2 linked regions of the Caenorhabditis elegans genome follow. The protein of the gene in region 1 binds, or shares a complex with, the protein of each later gene. Each region holds a gene or a part of one and is shown in the gene's direction. Other genes may lie near its edges. The genes, in order: mrg-1 and sin-3.

What was found.
Region 2: mrg-1 (region 1) and sin-3 share a complex: the UniProt entries of both Caenorhabditis elegans proteins name them as parts of the SIN3S complex.

What each region holds. Positions count from the first base shown.
Region 1 is NC_003281.10:12,865,703-12,876,245, reverse strand, and holds mrg-1 (Mortality factor related protein 1), read left to right. Parts: upstream 1-1,591; coding exon 1,592-2,086; intron 2,087-2,145; coding exon 2,146-2,294; intron 2,295-3,214; coding exon 3,215-3,434; intron 3,435-4,578; coding exon 4,579-4,728; 3' UTR 4,729-4,972; downstream 4,973-10,543. Other genes in the region: cec-7 (Chromo domain-containing protein), read left to right, coding at 1-22, 74-379; spcs-2 (Signal peptidase complex subunit 2), read right to left, coding at 619-1,080, 1,135-1,215; Y37D8A.8 (LITAF domain-containing protein), read right to left, coding at 8,752-8,928, 9,115-9,180, 9,227-9,262. UniProt on the Caenorhabditis elegans protein: Protein involved in the remodeling of chromatin thereby regulating various processes including transcription, chromosome synapsis and genome integrity.
Region 2 is NC_003279.8:8,412,370-8,422,352, forward strand, and holds the start of sin-3 (Paired amphipathic helix protein sin-3), read left to right. Parts: upstream 1-4,461; 5' UTR 4,462-4,462; coding exon 4,463-5,137; intron 5,138-5,525; coding exon 5,526-5,812; intron 5,813-6,081; coding exon 6,082-6,238; intron 6,239-6,350; coding exon 6,351-6,653; intron 6,654-7,052; coding exon 7,053-7,487; intron 7,488-7,978; coding exon 7,979-8,113; intron 8,114-8,159; coding exon 8,160-8,258; intron 8,259-8,584; coding exon 8,585-8,977; intron 8,978-9,027; coding exon 9,028-9,147; intron 9,148-9,215; coding exon 9,216-9,316; intron 9,317-9,509; coding exon 9,510-9,698; intron 9,699-9,746; coding exon 9,747-9,890; intron 9,891-9,983. Other genes in the region: F02E9.7 (Tartrate-resistant acid phosphatase type 5), read left to right, coding at 923-997, 1,602-1,692, 2,155-2,256, 2,300-2,451, 2,512-2,861, 3,138-3,285, 3,332-3,453, 3,498-3,717. UniProt on the Caenorhabditis elegans protein: Probable transcriptional repressor required for the deposition of dimethylated 'Lys-9' of histone H3 (H3K9me2) on asynapsed chromosome pairs (both autosomes and sex chromosomes) during meiosis, but this does not seem to solely affect the transcriptional status.

The sequences.
Region 1 (10,543 bases):
TCCAGTTGTCACAATGCGCAAGGTACTGCTCAGAGAATATTGAAGCTTTAAATAATAAATTTTGCATTTTCAGTCCGCTAGAAACCATGAAAAATCCACAGAGCCTCAAGCGACGAAAGAGAACGCTCCGCGGCTAGTCGGAAAACGTAGAGAACAATTCATAATCGGTGAGCAAGTCACGTGCACACAGAACGGAAAGCCATATGACGCGTACATCGTTGACATCATAACCGACACTGATGGGAAGGATTTTTACTGCGTTCACTTCAAAGGATGGAACAGCCGTTACGATGAGAAAATTCCAGTCGGCGAGGAGCAGGGTCGATTGTTCAAGGGCTCGGCCGCGAAGTACGCAGAGATGCTCGAGATGAAGAAGTAGATGGGATCTGCTAATAAATTGTTAAATTGCTAAAATTTTGTGTTTGTTAATTGTTCTTTTCAAGCTATTTGTACAATGAATTCTTACCGAAATTGACAAGTTCATATTGTATAAAATGCTGGAAATATTAGCTTTTGACAGACAAGAAACAGGATAGATGGAGAGAGAAAGGGGCACCCATGAAAAGCGAAGAAAAGGGGAAATAAATTAGGCCAAGAAAACCAGATAAATTAAATAAATTATTGTTCGCTACGAATCAAGCGGTTGTACAAGTCGTCGACCTCCTTCTTCACAAGTGGCACGATGATCTCTCCATCGTTATCGATATAAGCTCCGATAGATTTCGTGATTTTTCCCTGTCCAGAGCGTCCTTCCTTCTTAAACTCGGCCGACAGCGTGTACTTATCGTCGTGAGCCTTGATCTCCGAGCTCCACGCCCATTTTCTCGATTGTTTTCCGTCGACTTCGGTGGCCTCGTAGATGCAGTCCTTCTCGACGTACCACTGATACATTTGAAGAATTCCCATGCATATGAAGTAGGAAACCGAGCACACGGCGAGCACGATTTTCGACTTTGGGAACGGCTCGTAGTAGTCGTAGCCGCAGGCGAACGCGGAGAACGCGACGCCGATGAATGAGATGAGAAGACGCAGATTCATTAGATTATGCGATTCCGTCCATCCGACTTTGTCGTTCAGAATCTGAAACGAAAGATTTTAATTTTAATTTTAATTTTGGAGTTTCGGAGAGCAAACCTTTTTGACGACTTCATCAAGGGCATTCTTCACTGTTGGACCGTCCCATTTGTTCACAACTTTCACCGGCTCGTCCGTCATCTGAAAATTAATATATTTGAGAATAAAAATTGAATAGAAATCCAAAAAAACCCAAAAGAAATGAGCAAAAAGCTAGTGGTGACGTCTCAAAATTGGAAGTCTGCATTATTGCGTCGTGGTGTTTGCGTACTTTTTCGTGCGCGGCGCTATTGCATTTGCTTAGAAAACCGCGCCGCAGGGGGGTTTGAATTGCGAAAATGCCGTTGAGCTTTGAGAAAAGCTTTTTTTTTGTTTTTATCGATAAATTTATCGAATTTTCGATATTTTTAATCTATTTTTTGATTAAAAATCGTTCAAATATACATCATTGGCTAGAATTGCTGCTAAAACTCGCTTAAAACACCAATTAATCGATTAATTTCTTTAATTCCTTCAGATGTCTTCAAAGAAGAACTTCGAAGTCGGCGAGAACGTCGCGTGCATCTACAAAGGCAAACCATACGATGCCAAAATTACTGATATCAAAACCAACAGCGATGGCAAGGAACTCTACTGCGTTCACTTCAAGGGCTGGAACAATCGATACGATGAGAAAATCCCAGTCGGCGAGGAGAAAGACCGCATTTTCAAGGGAACAGCCTCGGAGTATGCAGAGAAACACAACGCAGAGCTGCCAACAACTGCATTGAAGCCGAAGAAGAAAAGTCTTGCGGCTGAAGCACCACGAGACGATCGTGATGACACTCCGGGGACGTCGAAGGGAAAAAAGGCGAAATCGGTGACAATTGCGCCGGTTATGACCGCCGACGATATGAAGGTCGAGCTTCCGAAGCCACTGAGAAAGATCCTGATCGATGACTACGATCTTGTCTGCCGTTATTTCATAAACATCGTGCCACACGAGTATTCAGTTGATCAAATCATCGAGGACGTAAGCATAAAAAAAATTAAAATATCATTTTTTCCGATTTTCAAATCCAACATTTTCAGTACATCAAAACCATTCCGGTCAGTAATGAGCAAATGAGAACGGTCGATGATCTGCTCATCGAATACGAGGAAGCTGATATAAAAATCACGAATTTGGCTCTGATTTGCACCGCGCGTGGACTCGTCGACTATTTTAATGTCACTTTGGGGTTGGTTAATTCGAATATGTTAAACAGATGCATGCAAATTGCACGTAGCCCAATGTTTAGTACCACTGCAACTTTTTTCGAACGAGGGACGAGGAAAAGCGGTTTCTAGCCCATGGCCGAGGGGCCGACAAGTTTCAGCGGCCATTTATCTTGCTTTGTTTTCCGCGTGTTTTCTTTAATTTTTCATAGACTTTTCCCGTTTTTTTCTTATTAAAACTAAATAAAAGATAAATAAATATTTTTGCAGATGCCAAAACAATTTCCAAGTGAAAAAATTATGTATTCAGTCGGCAAGTAGCGGTGAAAGTGCTCAATGTTATATGATGGATTACGGGAATACTAAATCTAAACCTTTTCTGAAACATGGTATATATTCTGCTTAGAGACTGAAACTACCCGATTTTCATCATAACGAGACCGCTGAAAAAGATTTGAGATTTTCAAAATTCAACTTTTTGTGCAAAAATCTCAGAACTTTTTGAGCGGTCTCGTTATGAAAATCGAATAGTTTCAGTCTCTAAGCAGAATAAATGCCATGTTTCAGAAAAACGATTAGGTTTAGTATTACCGTAATCCATCATATAACATTGACCACTTTCACCGCTTCTTGCCGACTGAATACACAATTTTTTCACCTGGAAATTGTTTTGGCATCTACAAAAATATTTATTTATCTTTTATTTAGTTTTAATAAGAAAAAACGGAAAATTTTTTTGAAAAACAAAAGAAAACACGCGGAAAACAAAGCAAGATAAATTGCCGCTAAGTCTTGTCGGCCCCTCGGCCATGGCCTAGAAACCGCTTTTCCTCGTCCCTCGTTCGATAAAAGTAGCAGTGAGTACACATAATGCCCTCCGCTTCGTAGAATAGTCGCCCCAATCCCACTTGAAACAGTTACGATGTAAGGATGAATTGTTTAGTTCCAGCTACCAACTGCTCTATAAGTTCGAGCGGCCACAGTACAATGACCTTGTCAAAAAGCGAGCTATGGAGAAGGGAATCGACATCACAAACCCGACCGCCCTGCAGGATAGTGGATTCCGTCCATCTCAAGAGTACGGAATTGTGCATTTCTTGAGAATGCTCGCAAAGCTCCCGGACTACCTGAAGCTCACTCAATGGAATGATCATGTTATTAACGTATGTTCGAAGTTCAACTCCTGGAGCGTCTCCTGAATCTGGTTTCCACACGGAATCTGTTTTTTTTTGGCGAAAAGGTGTAAAATTTGGAAAAATTAGGCCGAAAATTGGATCGAAACCGTCAATTTTCTCGATTTCAGGATCATAAAAAATCCCATTTTGTAGGGAATAAGCAGATTCACAAAACATTGATTTTTAAAATTGAAAAATGGGGAAATTGCCTTGTTTAATTTTAAAAATCAATTTTTTTTTGTGAATCTGCGTTTTCTCCACAAAATTGAATATTTTACGATCCTGAAATCGAAAAACTGACGGTTTCGATCCAGTTTGAGGCCAAATTTCCAAAATTTACATTTTTTCAATGCGTATCATTTTTCTCAACATTAATATAAATAAAAAATAGCAAAAAAAAACGATTTTCCGTGAATTCAGGAGCCCGAAATTGCTTTAAAACACGCCTATGGGACCACAATGACAGAATATCATGATAAAAAATTCAAAAAAATTTTATAAATTTTATATGATTTTTTGAAAATTGGAAAAATCTCAGTTTTCACCTAATTATTTTTGAATTACCGTCAATTGGATTTGTTCGATGGAGCGAGCTTGCATTATTTTCATTAATTAATTTTATTTTTTCTCGTTATTTGACTGGTTTTCTTCATTTTCTATGTTTTTTCCTCGGAAAATGAAAGAAATAAATAGGACAAATGCGAAATGTTTGTTAAAAAGTAATTGAAAATGCGTAAAACTGTGATATTCTGAGTTCCGACAAGCCTGAGATTAGTATATTTCACAGTTTTACTCATTTTCAATTACTTTTTAACAAACATTTCGCATTTGTCCTTTTTAAAAGCATAGAAAATGAAGAAAACCAGCCAAATAACGAGAAAAAATAAAATTAATTAATGAAAATAATGCAAGCGCGCTCCATCGAACAAATCCAATTGACGGTAATTCAAAAATAATTAGGTGAAAACTGAGATTTTTTCAATTTTCGAAAAATCATATAAAATCTAGAAATTTTTTTTTGAATTTTTTTAATCATGATATTCGGTCATTGTGGTACCATAGGCGTGTTTTAAAGCAATTTCCCCACTGAGCGTAGTCCCATGCTCCAAAAATAAAATAAATCAATTTTCAGCGCATCATGATTGGAGTTCACGATTTGATTGTGTTCCTGAATAAGAATCACGGGAAGTACTACAGAGGATCGTCTGATTATCAAGGTGCCTCCAACGACTACTATCGCCGATCTCTCGCCGCCGACGACGGAGTTGGAGCGAATCAATAGACTGATCTCCTTCATCATGTGTTCCATCCCAGACGATCTTCAATACACCGATATAACTTCAATAATTTTATACATTGTTCATTATTTTCCAAAGCTAGCCCCACCATTATGTTTTTGTGAAATCGTGGAGATCCATATTTTGTTCACGTTAATCTCACGTTTTCTGACGACTTCCACATTTCGCATTCCATTATCGTTCAATTTTCCGTTTAGTTGTTTCCCAACTATTCTAATGAATATGATTCTCATTTTCTTTTCAATAGCCCCCCACATTCATATTTTTCCAGATTCTTCTTCTCTTCCAACTCCCCGCCATTTTTAGCCTATCGAGATTTGATATAATGTCTGCGTGCCCCCAAAACTATTCCATCTCGCATTCCACGTGCCAGACTGGAAAGAAGAGGAAGACTGAAGATTTTTTTGAATATTAGAATATACTTTTTTCTTCCGATTTTGAAGTTTCATGATTAAGATGGTTAAATATTGAGAATGCTTATTGAACAACATAACTGACCCGCAAAATATCTCGTAGCGAAAATTCTTGTCGATTTACGGGCTCGATTTTCGAATTGAATTTATTTTTAAATAGTGACAGCGATATTTAATTTTCTTCTATCACTATTCAAACAATTCAAAAATCCGGGTCCGTAAATCGACACTACAGTAGTCATATTACTGTAGTTTTTGCTACAAGATATTTTGCGCGTCGGATATGTTGTTCAATACGCATTCTCAAAAATTACAAGAAGTTGTCTTTTTTTGAAAAGAAATTTTTGAGTCTCAAAGAAAAAAAAACATCCCAAAAGGGTTTCCTCTCGCTCAGCCGCTTTTTTTTGGGAAAATTCGGTCATTTTCTTTGATACAATTTTTCGACTAAAATATCAAAAATATTTAGCAAAGTATTTCTACACTTTCTACATGACCGAATTTTCGCAAAAAAAAGAAACGCCGAAATCATCTCAACGCAGTCGAAGATTTTGGCAAGAATAGCCAGTTTTAGGAGCATTTTGTTTGTGTTTGCAGGCGACGCGCATTCGCGTACAAGGCATTTTAATTGACGCGCAAAACATTTAATTCAGCGGCAGCGAATACAATCTTAAATCAGTTTATCAGATGGCGCAGTTAAATTTTACCACAACTGATATTTTAATAAATTGATTAATTAAAATCTAATTTTAATGATTTAAAAGTGTTTAAAATGATTTTAAAACGAGTATTCGAAAGATTCCAGACCTGCCACAAACATTTATTTTTTGATCTACTCCTTTTTCGTCCCACTCTCTCATTCAACGCGACATTTTTTCTCTGTTCAGGTGAGGAATTGTTTTGCATTTTTTGTCATTTTTTCCAATGGGTGGCTTGGAGTACGGCTGTTTTTTTTTTCTCACAGAATGGATTTTCTGATTTTTCGTGATTTTTTCTTTTCGAGTTGCACGTTGACAAATGTTTCACCGCAAAACTTCGCGTTTTTATCGATTTTAAGATTAAAGTATAGGGTTTCGAAACGACGCAAGTTTTTCTGAGAAGCGAAAAGGTGTGCGCCTTTAAGGAGTACTGTAGTTACAAACTTTTGTTTCTTTCAATTTTTTTCGATGTTTTAAAACGCGTCAACAAAATGTTGTTTTTTATTTGAAGGCGCACACGTGTTTATAACATTACGAAAATTGAGCCCGTGAATCGACACAAATGCTACAGTAGTCATTTAAATAATTACTGTAGTTTTCGTTACGAGATATTTTGCGCGTCATAAATGTTGCACAATACGCATTCTCAAAATTTTGTAGTGCTCCCGTAATAGTACTGTAGGAATTTTGTAGGATTACTGTAGTTTAAAACAATAACAATTTCCAATTTTTTTCTGGCTAGAGAAATTGTAAAATTTTCTGGGCATTTTTCCCCGTTTTTCAAAATATTGATTGATTTTTTTCTGCTATGCGTCTTCCATTTTTGCTTTAAAAAAGTAAAATATAAATAATATTTTTCAATTTCAGACGCGTTGGATCCTCCAGCACGGGACGGATGGGTGGCATCGACGATGACACATGGAGCAAAAAGGAGCACTCATAGGAAGGTAATTGGTCTGCAATTTAAGCCGTGGACTTCTTGGGCTTCTCGGGCTTCTCTTGGGCCGTGGGCTTTTGAAATCAAATATTAATATTTTTCAATTTCAGATGCGTTAGATACTCCAGCAAAAATTGATTGAACGGATGGACGGAGGGACTGTTGGACGAAGGTTGGACGGAAGGACGACAGCGGCGACGACTCATGGAGCGAAAAGGAGCACTCGTAGTATGGTAATTGGTCTGCAATTTAAGCCGTGGGCTGCTTGGGCTTTTTTCGGGCCGTGGGCTTCTTTGTTGTTAATGTGCGAAAACGTGACGCTAGCGCCATTTTCAGTCGCTCGTCATTAGTGTTCCTCTCCACCCTTTAAGTTTGTTGGCCAGTCCGAGGGCACGGGCGGCCTTCTTTGAGGACGTCCACAGATTTTCTTTGTGGATAGGGCTGCGATCTACCACAGGTTAGGTGGTGATCTAAGCCTCCCTCTCATTGTCCCCACAACCACACGGGAGATCCTTCGATTCTTTTTGAAAGATTAAAAGGACAATCCGTTCTTCAAGTGCTATGCACTGCGGATCTGGGAGTCAGGTACATTGCCTGGTGATGATCCCACTGGGCTGTAATTTAAGCCACGTCCTAGCCGGGGAATATGGCCGATAGTCCAGTCGTTGATTACTCTACTTCCCAATAGATCTTGATCTCATGATAGATCTTGATCCAATCTTGATCTCATGGCCTCAAGATTGCTAGCGGCCACCACTACCGACTGAGCTGTCTGCCCCTCTTCTTCTTTTGTACATTGTTAGTAAAAAAGGTTGTTCCATGAACTGAAACAAATTGAAAAATTGGGAAAAACTGCGAGAATTAAAATATCTCCAGTTTTTGAAAAAACAGTTCAAATTTTGGGTTCACTCTTTTTGCTTTACAGTGATTGTTACATTGTAGATTCTGTGGACTTGTCCAACTGTCTACGACGGCATGAGTTTAGTAAAATGTGTTTACCATGAACTGAAAAACAAATTGGAAAATTGAGAAAAACTGCGAGAATTAAAATATCTCCAGTTTTTGAAAAAACAGTTCAAATTTTGGGTTCACTCTTTTTGCTTTACAGTGATTGTTACATTGTAGGATTCGGTGGGATCTTCCCAACAGTTCACAGTGGCATGAGTTTAGTGAAAGGTTTTACCATAAACTGAAACAAATTGGGAATTCGGGTAAAGCTTCGAAAATTTAAATTTCTAACTGTTCAACTTTTTGGTTCAATCTTTTTACTTTACAAGGACTATCGCACCTAACGCGCTACGCTTTGCAGAAAATTAAGTTGGAAAACTGGGGAAAATTCGGATTGTTTTGAACCAAAATTGACTGAGCCATAGTCATTCGAAGATAATATCATTCCTTGGTTTTTTCTAAGTGTATTCGGGCCTGCGGTCCTCAATCTGGATAGACTGGTCTTTCCAAAAGCATACGTAGTCTCATTGAAGGCCTGCTCTGCTGGTAGTAGGGAAAGAAGTGGCCTAAAGTTTCTAAGAGTAAGAGGGTGGCCCTGATCCCCGATTTTTGGGTCTGAACGAAACACGATAGCATTGCAGGCCACCAGCATGTACTGCTGGATGATGTTAAAAGTGGCCAAAATTCAAAATTTGCCGAGGTCGGCAAATTCGGCGTGCTTAACAAACTCAGGAAAATTTGATGTCTAAAATGAAGAAAAATAGAAATTTTAAAATTTCCAATTATTTAAAAAATCTCGACACGACTGATGAGGTCATGGTGCACCGAACTAGTATTCCCGAGAACAGAACCGCGACGCGACACGCGACGCACAGTAAAACAACAAGTCTGGGACGAGGTGGTTTACCCCGCCAAGAAACCCCGACAAAATATTTATTCCGAACGTTATAAGTGATTGAGTGCAATTTAAACGAGTACACGAATTGGGCTTTCACTTGTTGAGATTCTCAAAAATTATCCTCTCTTTTTACGCGACAGGACCATTCCACAGTTCGGACAATGATGAATTGCGTCACGGATATCAATGCAACAAAGGATGTAGATGAGGAAAAAGGCGACGAAGATAATCAATATGATAATAAGCCAAGCGAAACATCCCATTTCGTATTCGACAACTGTCACAACGGTACACTGAAAAAATTGTTGTTTGAAAATGTGTCTACTTTGAGGGCTTATATCTCGGTTGGCTTGGGTTTTATCAAAAAATTTTTCACTGAGAAAATATAGAGAAATATTTTCTGCATATTTTGTTAGTTAAAATTGTTTAAATAAAACTAAAGACAACCGAGATATAAGCTTGTGAAGTAGAGCACTCACTCTGCATCTTGGACAATATTCCTGGTAGGGTTTGAATGATGGAGCAACTTTCTCGTAATACATGTACTGAAATTAATTATCCATGTTTTGAATTGGTTTATTATCTTTTTACCGGTGTTGCCACGACGACTTGTCCAGCTTCTTTTCTCTGAAAACTCAAGTATAAGGTTTGATCTCCGAGAATTGCGGGAATTTAGAGTATATTCCCGCATTTTTTGTAGATCAAGCCGCAATGGGGCAGCCTGACATTGCAATTCTATAGCCGTAAAAAAAATGCGATTTTCTGAGTGATTTTTGTAAACACACAAAAATTGGCAACCTTTGTGCCTGCCCGGAAGACGACCTAAGCCTTATACAGTGCTGGCCAAAAAGATATCCACTTTTGGTTTTTTGTGTGTAACTTTTTTCTCAAGCATCCATTTGACTTGAATTTTTCCGTGTGCATAAAGCGAAATGTTACGCAAATTTGCGGACCAAACATTACATGATTATCGATTTTTTCTGAATTTTATTTCAATTTTTTGATTTTTTCGTTTTTCCAATTTTCATTATTTTTTTTGAATTATCAATAAAACGCACTCTTTTTGTTGCACTGGATTTGTTTGGTTGATAAATTATTTTTAAGGTATGGTAAAATCTGTTGGGTGTAAAAATCTTTCCTTGGACGTCAAGAAAGCCATTGTAGCTGGCTTCGAACAAGGAATACCCACGAAAATGCTCGCGCTGCAAATTCAACGTTCTCCGTCGACTATTTGGAAAGTAATCAAGAAGTACCAAACTGAGGTGAGTTCGAAAAATATTATTTTTTAATAATAAATGTTTAGAAATCCGTCGCTTTGAGAATCTCGCCCGGCAGGCCTCGAGTGACAACCCATAGGATGGATCGCAACATCCTCCGATCAGCAAGAGAAGATCCGCATAGGACCGCCACGGATATTCAAATGATTATAAGTTCTCCAAATGAACCTGTACCAAGTAAACGAACTGTTCGTCGACGTTTACAGCAAGCAGGACTACACGGACGAAAGCCAGTCAAGAAACCGTTCATCAGTAAGAAAAATCGCATGGCTCGAGTTGCGTGGGCAAAAGCGCATCTTCGTTGGGGACGTCAGGAATGGGCTAAACACATCTGGTCTGACGAAAGCAAGTTCAATTTGTTCGGGAGTGATGGAAATTCCTGGGTACGTCGTCCTGTTGGCTCTAGGTACTCTCCAAAGTATCAATGCCCAACCGTTAAGCATGGAGGTGGGAGCGTCATGGTGTGGGGGTGCTTCACCAGCACTTCCATGGGCCCACTAAGGAGAATCCAAAGCATTATGGATCGTTTTCAATACGAAAACATCTTGGAAACTACAATGCGACCCTGGGCACTTCAAAATGTGGGCCGTGGCTTCGTGTTTCAGCAGGATAACGATCCTAAGCATACTTC
Region 2 (9,983 bases), on another chromosome or scaffold:
GTATTTCTTCATCTCACACGCTATTTTTCAATGCCAAGGTTTTTTCAACAGAAAAGCGCTCCGAGATGTGATCGGACAGACAGGAATGCTGGATGGGTTTTATGGCAGTAGATATCGAGAAATGTCTTGGTGAGACTTTCGGATAAATATTTCACAATGAAAACACAAATAAATCTTAAATTCAATTAAATAAAACATGTTTGAAATGGAGAAAATCAAGCTCAGAATAAAATTTTCAAAAAGTGAACCATATGCGCTGCGAGACCCAAAGCAAGTGAATTGTTGTGTGCCTTTAAAACTACCGTAACCTGGAAGTTTCAATTATCGATTTGTTTTTTAGAATAATTGTTTATTTTGATTGATTTCTCGTATTCACATTCATTTTTTAAATATATCTCCGATTTTTTTCAATCTTCACACTCTCAATTTCACATCATAGACCAAGCATCAAAATTAAACAAAAAAATTTAGGCCAAAACCCCAAAAAACTCCCCGCAAAACCGTTTCTTCATTTTTTGATCTATAACCCAGACGCAAAGGAGCACGCGTGCTATCTTGCGGTAAGAACAAACATAGTCAGATAAAAAACGAAGTAAAAGAGAAGAAAAGGTGAGAGACGCCGAGAAACAGACATTGTTCGTCATTCTATATTCGCTCAATAACACGCTCACACATCCAGTCGTTATCTTCGGAAAATATCTGGAAAATAGAGAAATCGATGCCCAACTTTTGAAAATACTCATTTAATTGCGGAACGCTTAGTAATTTTTCTCAAATCTAAGAAATTACTCAAAGTTTCGAAATTGTTTGAATTTCCTTCCACCGATGTTTTCCTCAAATTGATAAATAATTGTATAAAAATGAATAAATTTTTATTAATTTCAGGTCAGAGCACCCTCAAGCTTGAAGAGTTTTACCGAAAATGCTGCTTGTTGATGAAAAATTGGAAAAACGCAGTAGCTCGTCATCACTTGATCGATTTCTTCCTGATCTTCCAGTAAGTCTTGCATTTTAAAAAATCAATAACTTAATATAAATATATAAAAATTTCAAGTAATTTTTGCACGATTTAGCTTAAAACATTTTTTTTAATTATTGAAAATCATTGACAATTCGATAAGCTTGCATTTTCTTCCTTCTCAAAATTTTCTCACGATTAAAAACATGAGATAAAAATAAAATAAAATAAAGTTCCGATGAATCATAAACTTCCCAAAAACGACCGATTTGCATAAAAAAAGGGTATCATTTCATGAAGTTTTATCAGTTTATTGTGGTTATTGTTGCCCTCTGAAAAAACATTCAAATTTTATATCAAAAACATATTTTTAAAAACAAAATTTTAATATTCCAACAGATAAAACTAGTAAATCTCGAATTGTTTAAGGCCAAAGAGTAATCCCTTTTTGGAAATATAAGCCTTTTTAATAGGCTTATATTCCAATTCATGACAAATCAGTTCCGCTTGACTATTCTCTTTTTTTAACTGCCTAGTATTGTTTTGAAATTTAAATTTTCTAGAATTTCAGATTACAAATGTTTTTAACACTCAATAAGTTGAATTTCTCAAAAATCTTTTTTTTCAAATAAATTTATTTCAGCAAAAAGTGAAATCTCGACGGAAAATGCGAAAAATCATGTGTTTTGTGGGACTTTTCGGCATTTCGACAATCTTCTTCATTGCAGTCTCCAGTTGGTTTTTCATGAGGGATTTAGGTGGTTTTAGAGTGCACTTCTTACTAAATTATTAATTTTATCCTAATTTTTAAAACTTTTTTGTTAAAATTTAATTTTTTTCTCTCGAAAGAACGAAACATTTTTGTTCTCCGATTTTTAAATTAAATCGAAAAATCGACATCTTTTTTTATAATTCTGAAAATAAATACACATTGGGACTTTTCAACTTCACTCCGAACGAATCCGACTCACTGATTGATTCAGAAGTGGGCGGAGCAGAGTGTCGATTGGTGGTAGATCTCATTTAGAAGAAATGACATTTTAAAAGTTGAATTTTTTGAATTTTTTTTTCCAAAAATTTCTACTTTGTTAGTTTTTTTAGTTCAAAAACCCTCACTAGCACATCTAACCTCACCTACCCGAATTAGCTCTTGACCCAAAATTCAAGTTAAATCTCATTTTATTTTATTTTTTCAGACATTTCATCGTCGGAAGATGTTCCGCTTTATAATGGAAATATTTACGATCCGGAAAGAGATTCAAAAAGTTTTCGAATTTTGTTAGTTGGTGATACAGGAGGTATAAAATGATTTTAGAAAAAAGTGTATCTCTAGTAATTCAGGAATTCCAATATTGGAGACGACTTGGGCACAAAATGAAGTCAAACAGACAATGGCATCATTAGCAGATGAACATAGTGTTCAAATGATATTAAATATGGGTGATAACATATATTTTACGGGACCCACTGATGAATTTGATCCAAGATTCGAGGTTTGTACTTTTTTTTAACCCAAAATTTTAGTAAATCCCTCTAAATTTAAAATATTTCAGTCACGTTTCGAAAATGTCTACACGAATCCGAGTCTACAAGTTCCATGGCTCACAATAGCCGGAAATCATGATCATTTTGGAAATGTGACCGCCGAGATTGAATATACAAAACATAGTAAAAAGTGGTATTTTCCATCACTTTACTATAAGAAATCAGTAGAATTCAATGGTACTTCTATCGATTTTTTAATGATTGATACAATTTCCTTATGTGGAAATACAAAGGATATTCAAAATGCTGGTTTTATTGAAATGTTACGTAATGAATCACATGATCCACGTGGTCCTGTTAATATAACTGCCGCTGAAGAACAATGGGCATGGTTGGAGAATAACTTAGAAGCAAGCAGGTTAGGAATTTTGGATTTTTTCAAAAAATGACCTCGCCACGACCTTTTTGTAAAATAAAAACAGGTATGCACCTTTAAAGTACTGTAATTTTTAACTCTTGTTGCGGAATTTTCATCTATTTTTAAATTGTTATATTCAAGATTAAAAAAAAAGGCGCACATTTTTGCATTCAACAAAATTTAGTCGTGCCGAGACCGTGCATCTTATGCCTGGCCCAGAAATCGGAAGATTTCGCTTCTGGGTAATGGAAATTTATTTTAAAAATCCTCTTTCAGTGCCCAATACCTAATAATTTCTGGTCATTATCCTGTTCATTCTATGTCATCACATGGTCCAACTGACTGTTTACGTCAACGTTTGGATCCACTTTTAAAACGATTTAATGTGAATGCTTACTTCTCAGGACACGACCATTCGTTGCAGGTTTACCTTAGTAATTTTAATTCAAATTACTTTATAAATGTTTCAGCATTTCACTTTTCCCGGGTATGGAGAGCATATAATTAACTATGTTGTGTCTGGAGCAGCTTCTCGAGCAGATGCATCAACGAAGCATATTAAAGAATTCAGTAGGGATACGTTGAAGTTCAAGTGAAGATTGAAAGCATTAAAAAGTAATTTCAACAAACTTTCAGTTATCCGGAAAAATCATGGTTCTCGTGGTCACCAGTTTCGCAGCTCGGATTCCGTAAAGGCGGCTTAATATATGCAGAATTTGGACATTACAATGCTCGACTCGATTTCTTTGACAAAAGAGGAAAACAGCTTTATTCGACGATCATCCCCACACGTGTGATCCCGACGGATACATCGACACGATCAACTGCCTCACCGTTTGTAGAAATAGGAATGTAATTAATTATTTAAGCAGTTGAAATTCAATTTTTTGAATATTTATTGAACTCCCTCATAATTTCATGTATAATATATCTTGAACGGGTTGAAAATAAAAATTTTATTTATTTGTTGGGCTCTAAATTGTAATATTTAAATTATTTTTTGAGCTCCGCCACCTTTTTAAAGGTTATTCAGCGTACTTCGTTAAATTATATTTCCGGAAAATAAATTCTCTGCGTCTCTTAAGCTGTATGCAAACGCGCTCTGAAAGGCAAAAGCGAGAGAGGAGAGGCAGCAGAGAAACGAGCGCCATTTTCAATACTTCACAGGATTTACGAACAAAATGTTCTTTTTTTTGTTAAAATTTCAAAGTGTAACGTTTTTTAATCATACAAACATTTACTAACAATATTCCTATCGAATTTGAAAACTTTGTAACATTAGAAAAACAAAAATTCTACTGTTTCGTAACAATGTCTCATTTTAATCAAAGACTAAAGTTTTCTCAACATTTGAAAAAGAATTTAAGTAAATTTTCTTTCGATTTTTCAGCTATATACGGTTTTCAAACTTTAAGTTCAATAATACAAAATCAAATGATTGATTTTTAAAAAAATTGAAACTGAACGTTCAGCTTGAAACAGCGTTGGAAATTTAAGGATGTGCTAAAAAAGCAAATCAATAAAGAAACTTATTTTTGTCTCTTTTCTCTATTTTCTAAAACTTCTCACTAAAGGTAACTTTCCAAAGTTAGATTTTCAGAATGTACAATCCACCACCTGGAGGCGGCGGTGGCAACAATGGAGGAGATCAATCTCAACAACAACCTACAAATAATGCGACGTTGTTTTTATTACAAATGATTCAACAATCACAACATCAACAACAGCATCAGAATCAACAACAACAACAACTGGAACTTCAAATACGTGATCAAGAGCGTATTTTGATAGAACAACAAAGAATGCAACATCAACAACAACAAAATCAACTTCTTCAAGGACTCAATCAATTTCCATTTAATCCTTTAGGATTATTTCAAGTACAAGCTGCTGTTCAAGCAGCTCAGGCACAATTTGCACAAAATGCTCAAGGTTCTCCAATTCCTTTTCATATCGGTTCTCCACTTCAACCATCACATTCACCAGCAGCTTCTGCTCTTCAGCAACAATATCTACTACCATCTCATTCACCGGCAATAACCCCATTTGCTAGAAATAGTGAAGCTGCAAGAAATATTGAACAATTTATTGCACAGGAAGAGGCTGCAAATGTACCAAGGGCCAACAGTCAACAACAATCTCCATTGATTCGTCCGATTCCACAGCAACAAGCTTTGAATATTCAAAATCTCACATCGACTCAACAGGCACAACAAATCCTGGCCCATCATCGTCAGGTTCCCGTTCAACAAGTACAGCATCAGCAGCATATTCCCGTAAATATTTATTTGATTGAAAATTAAAAAATGTCTGAAAATTGGAAGGTCTGAACCTTTCTTTATAGAAAATTATATTTTAAAAAGTTAGAAAGTACTGTAGCGCCAAACAATTTGTCCTTCATTTCTGCTTTCCCGAAATTCGCAAACCTAATATTTCTCAATTGAGCTCAAAAAATAACAGAATTACTTTTGTTTTTCAGCATTTCGTAAGTTTTTTGAAGAAAATGTGTAAAAATTTGAAGTTTAAGACTGTTTTCAAATATTAGATGATGATATTTTATCAATGAAATGCATGTCTGAACTAAAAAAATTTATAGCAATTGACAATTTTATATTTACGTCAATTTAACAATTCATTCCGAAAACCAATAAATCTATTTTTCAGACTCCTCCACTAGCCCTTCCAATTGCTCAACAAGGACCAATTTCTAATGAAGTTCCTTCAGTTCCTCCAGTTGTTCCAGCAACTTCTGCAGGGTGTCCTCAACGTGAGCCTCGTCAACAACAAGGTGGCCGACGACAAAATCGTCCAGGTCGTCGAAAGAAACCAGAAGGTCCACCACGTGTTGATGAAGCTCTCGCCTATCTGAGAGTTATTAAAAGTACTTTCTCATCTGATGTACCCGTTTATCATCGATTTTTGGAAATTATGAAGGATTTTCGTGCTCAGAGGTAATTCTGAAAATTTGAATTTTATTTTTGAAGGTTGAAAATCAAAAAAAATTGTTTTGGTTTTTCCGGGAAAACAAATATTCTTAGATTTACAAAAAACTTTAAAAAAACATTTGTTTTGTTCAAACATAAGATAACATAATTTACTTGAAAAGGCAAAAAATTTCAAGCTATCTTCCGAAATATCGTAAAACCGACACATTTGATGCGGATTAAATTTTGCTTTATTTAAATCCAAAAAAAAAAACAAATATCTGTCTTTTTTGCAGAATTGAAACACCTGATGTGATTGAACAAGTAGCAGAACTTTTATATGATTCACCGGAACTTGTTCTTGGATTCAATACTTTTCTGCCAACTGGATATCGTATCACATTGACTCCAGATCGAAAATATGTTTTTTCTTCGCCACAAATGCAGCCAAGGGTTCGTTTGGATATTTAGATTATACTAAAAATCTGATTTGAAAATAGTTTTAAAAATCCAATATCCACACAATATTGTTTTGCCTCGAAATTAAATTACAAAAAATTTGAAGGTTCTGCTATCGCCTGACGAACGCCGAGCCCGTGCAATTGAAGCTGGAGCACAAGCTGTAGGAGCAATTGAGTTGGGTTCTCAAGAAGGAATATCAAAAGACGAAGACCGTACAATTGAAGATGAAGATATGGATAAAAGTAAAGAAAAAGATGATGTAGATGGAATTGATGATGAAGATGATGAAGAATCTGGAATAGAAGATAAAAATAATGAAGAAATGATGGAAGAAGATAATCATTTGATTGAAGAAATTATTTGTGATGATAGAAAGAAGGATGATTGTGAAGATTCACAACAAGAGGTTTGTGTTGTTTGTTTGAAAACAAAAAACTTGAAGGTTTTTAAAATATTTGATTTTAAACATATCTGAAATCTTCTTTGATAAATTTTAAAAAAATACATACCAACGTTTTCAGATTTTTCTTCAAAAATAAAAATCTTCTAAAATTTTTACTTTTCTGTATTGCCTTCACTGATAGTTGCTGGTTTTCCCAGTTCTTCAACGATGGGCGATTCTCTTGCTCGTTTGAGCTCTATATCTTTCTTTGTCCTGGAGTGTTTACTGTAGCGAAACATTGTTGTCTTTTCAGTACATTTTCTTAGCTATTTATTATTGTATATCAAACTTCTGCCTTCACAAGCCATAATTGATCTAGAAAACATGTAAGTGCCATGTGAAAAATTTAAAAATCGTTTTCAGATCGAAATGTCAAGTGAATTGGCTGCTCATACACTGAACATAATCGAACTTCTCAAAAAATCGTTTCTGGCTCGCCCGACGAAACTTGTTGATTTCATGACGTTCATTGACTTCTTCATGAGTGATCAACAATATAAAAAAGATATGGAAAAATTGAGAAAAGATGATGAGGATGACGAGATTGAAGAAAATGAGAAAATCGAAGTTGATGATGTTCCAGGACCATCCAATGCACCACAAGAAATCAAAAAACCTGATGATATTGAGAAAAAAGATTCATCGAAAAATCTGCAAATTGAGGAATCGTGCTCAGATTATCTTGTCTCAATGCTTGCTAATTGTTGTATTGGAGAACCTGATCTTCTTGCAGCAACTATTGATTTTCTTCCATATCTTGGGAAACTTCTTGTTAATGGATCTGATGCGATAGCATTGGTGAGATAATGTATCCTATATATGATTTTTCATAATAATTAAAAAATATTCTGAAATTCCGAAATACCAAATGAAACACGAAAAAGCGAGGAATAATGAAAAACCACAACTTTCCAAATTCAAGAATTTTTCGTTTTTTTGCATGATTTTTGAATTTCAGAATATTTGCAGTATTCTATAGAAAATTTCCCATTCACGAAATTGCGAAAATTTAAAATTTAAAATAGAAATATCTAAAACAATTCAAGTGAACTATCTAATTTAATTTTCAGTTTTTAATATTTAAATATATTTTGAAATAATTAATTAGAAAAGTAGACTTGATATTTGTTCATCGTCGAAAAATATCATAGATCAAAAAAAAATCTCAATAATCATGCAATTTGCCCTTGATCTACCAACCAGTTTTTGTAAACAAAACGCCTTTTTCGTTTTTGAAAAAAAAAACTATCATTGCAAATCAATATTTTTAAACCTTTTTTCTTTTCCAGAAAATCAAAACAATTCTCCATTTCTCCGCCACCAACGATCGTAACGATATTCCACCTGTAAATCGTGTAAATCCATCCGATGTCGACATGGATTTAGTGAAACAAATGGAAAAATGCAAAATGGGGACTAAAAAGGTTTGCTACTCCTTTTAAAATTAAATAAAATGATTAAAAATTTCAGAATGAAAAACTGAAACTAAAAGTTGCTGGGCAAGGCGATGAAGGAGCAACCGTGGAATTGATGATACTCAAGAAATCATACAGAATTCTTTATGAAAGGGTTTGTTTTAACGGTGGAGTAGCGTAAATGGGGATTTCGATTCAAAATCCAAATTTGTCAATAAAATCGCCGAAGACAAAAATATTAACGGTAATCGGCGATCGCCGATCGCCGTGTTAAAAATTATTATCGGAAAAAGTGTAGAAAAATTACGTCACACATGTATTTAAATACTTGAAAACAGGTGTGACGTAATTTTTCTACACTTTTTAATTTTCCAACACTACTTGAATAACCCCATAACCCATTAAAACAAAATCCAATTCAAGCCACTCGCCCTCTAAAAGTTTTTATCATTTTGCTTATTCAATAAACTTTATTTTCAGCTAAAAAGTCGAACAACACCGAATCAACTGTCTCACCTGATGGTTTTGATAAATGCCTACGCAAATTTGGATATAACCCGAGAACAATTGATTAGTGAACTTCCAAAGATCATGGGAACATCTGGTTCTGATCTTGAAATGATTATTCTCCAATTATTGGGTGCAGAAAAAGAACCAAAAAATCGACCAGAGAATGATATGGATGCAGTTATGAGAAAAGATTTACCTGCCATTCAACCAAAACGAGGTCTTCGTGATCAAAAAATGTTGCAACAAGTGAAGAATGTTGAAGCAGCAACAGTGTGTACACTAGGTCCTAGTTATCGATTTATGAAGGATACGAAAGCAACTGATTGTAGTGGACGTGTTGAGCTGGATGATGATCTCAAAGGAGTATGGAAAATTACACAAATTTAAAAATTTTATTTGAATGATATTTTCAGGTTCTCAATGATACGTGGACATCAATACCATCATGGTCATCTGAAGATACTGGTAGTCAGGCGATTAAGAAATCGAATTTGGAAGAATTTCATTTCAAAACCGAGGATGAACGTTATGAGGTTTGTTTTTTTTCGATGTGAAGACAATTTAACAAATATTCAATTAACAAGATTATTTAAAATTTCAGCTTGATATTATTGTTGATTCAAATCGAACTGTCATCGAACAATTGTCAAAAACACTTCGAGATTACGAGGCGATGAGTGATGAAGATAAGAAGTCGTTCAAGTAAGTATTCAGATATTATATCTACAAAAATACCACATAAAATTGAAAAAAAAAATTATCGAGGACCTCTTAGAAAGGGATTCTGCTACACCGAAATTCTCTGTCCGAACTTCCGAAAATTATTTAGAAAATATCAATTGTTTTTTGAAAACGAAACCGAAAATTTGTTTTCATTGTAAAAAGTGATTTTCAGATTGGACAAATGGCTCAATGCTTCATCTCGATCCACCACAATTCGTGTTCTAGCAAAAGTCTTCACAAACTCTGCTCAAGATTTCATTGATGCTGCACAAAAGAATCCACTTGTAGGTTTACGACGAATTCTTGAAAGTCTGAAGGAGAAAGACTTGCTGTGGAGTCGATTCCAACAGGATACTAACAGGTTTTTTACTTAATTTCCCTCAAAACTTTCTAAAAATATCAATTCTAGAACATGGAGAGACGCTTTGGACAAGCAAATGTCGGCTGCAACGACGATTTTGAATAATCAACACAAGAATTACGATCAAAAAGCGTTCAAGTCGAAGCCTCTTGTTAATCAAATCGAACAAATCTGTGAGGAAAGACGGAAAAAGTTTGTTTTTTTTTCTTTAAAGGTGGAGTGGCGTTAATGCTTAAAAAAAATCCAAAATAGTCAAATTCAGAAATACAATCAAAGAAAATCGAA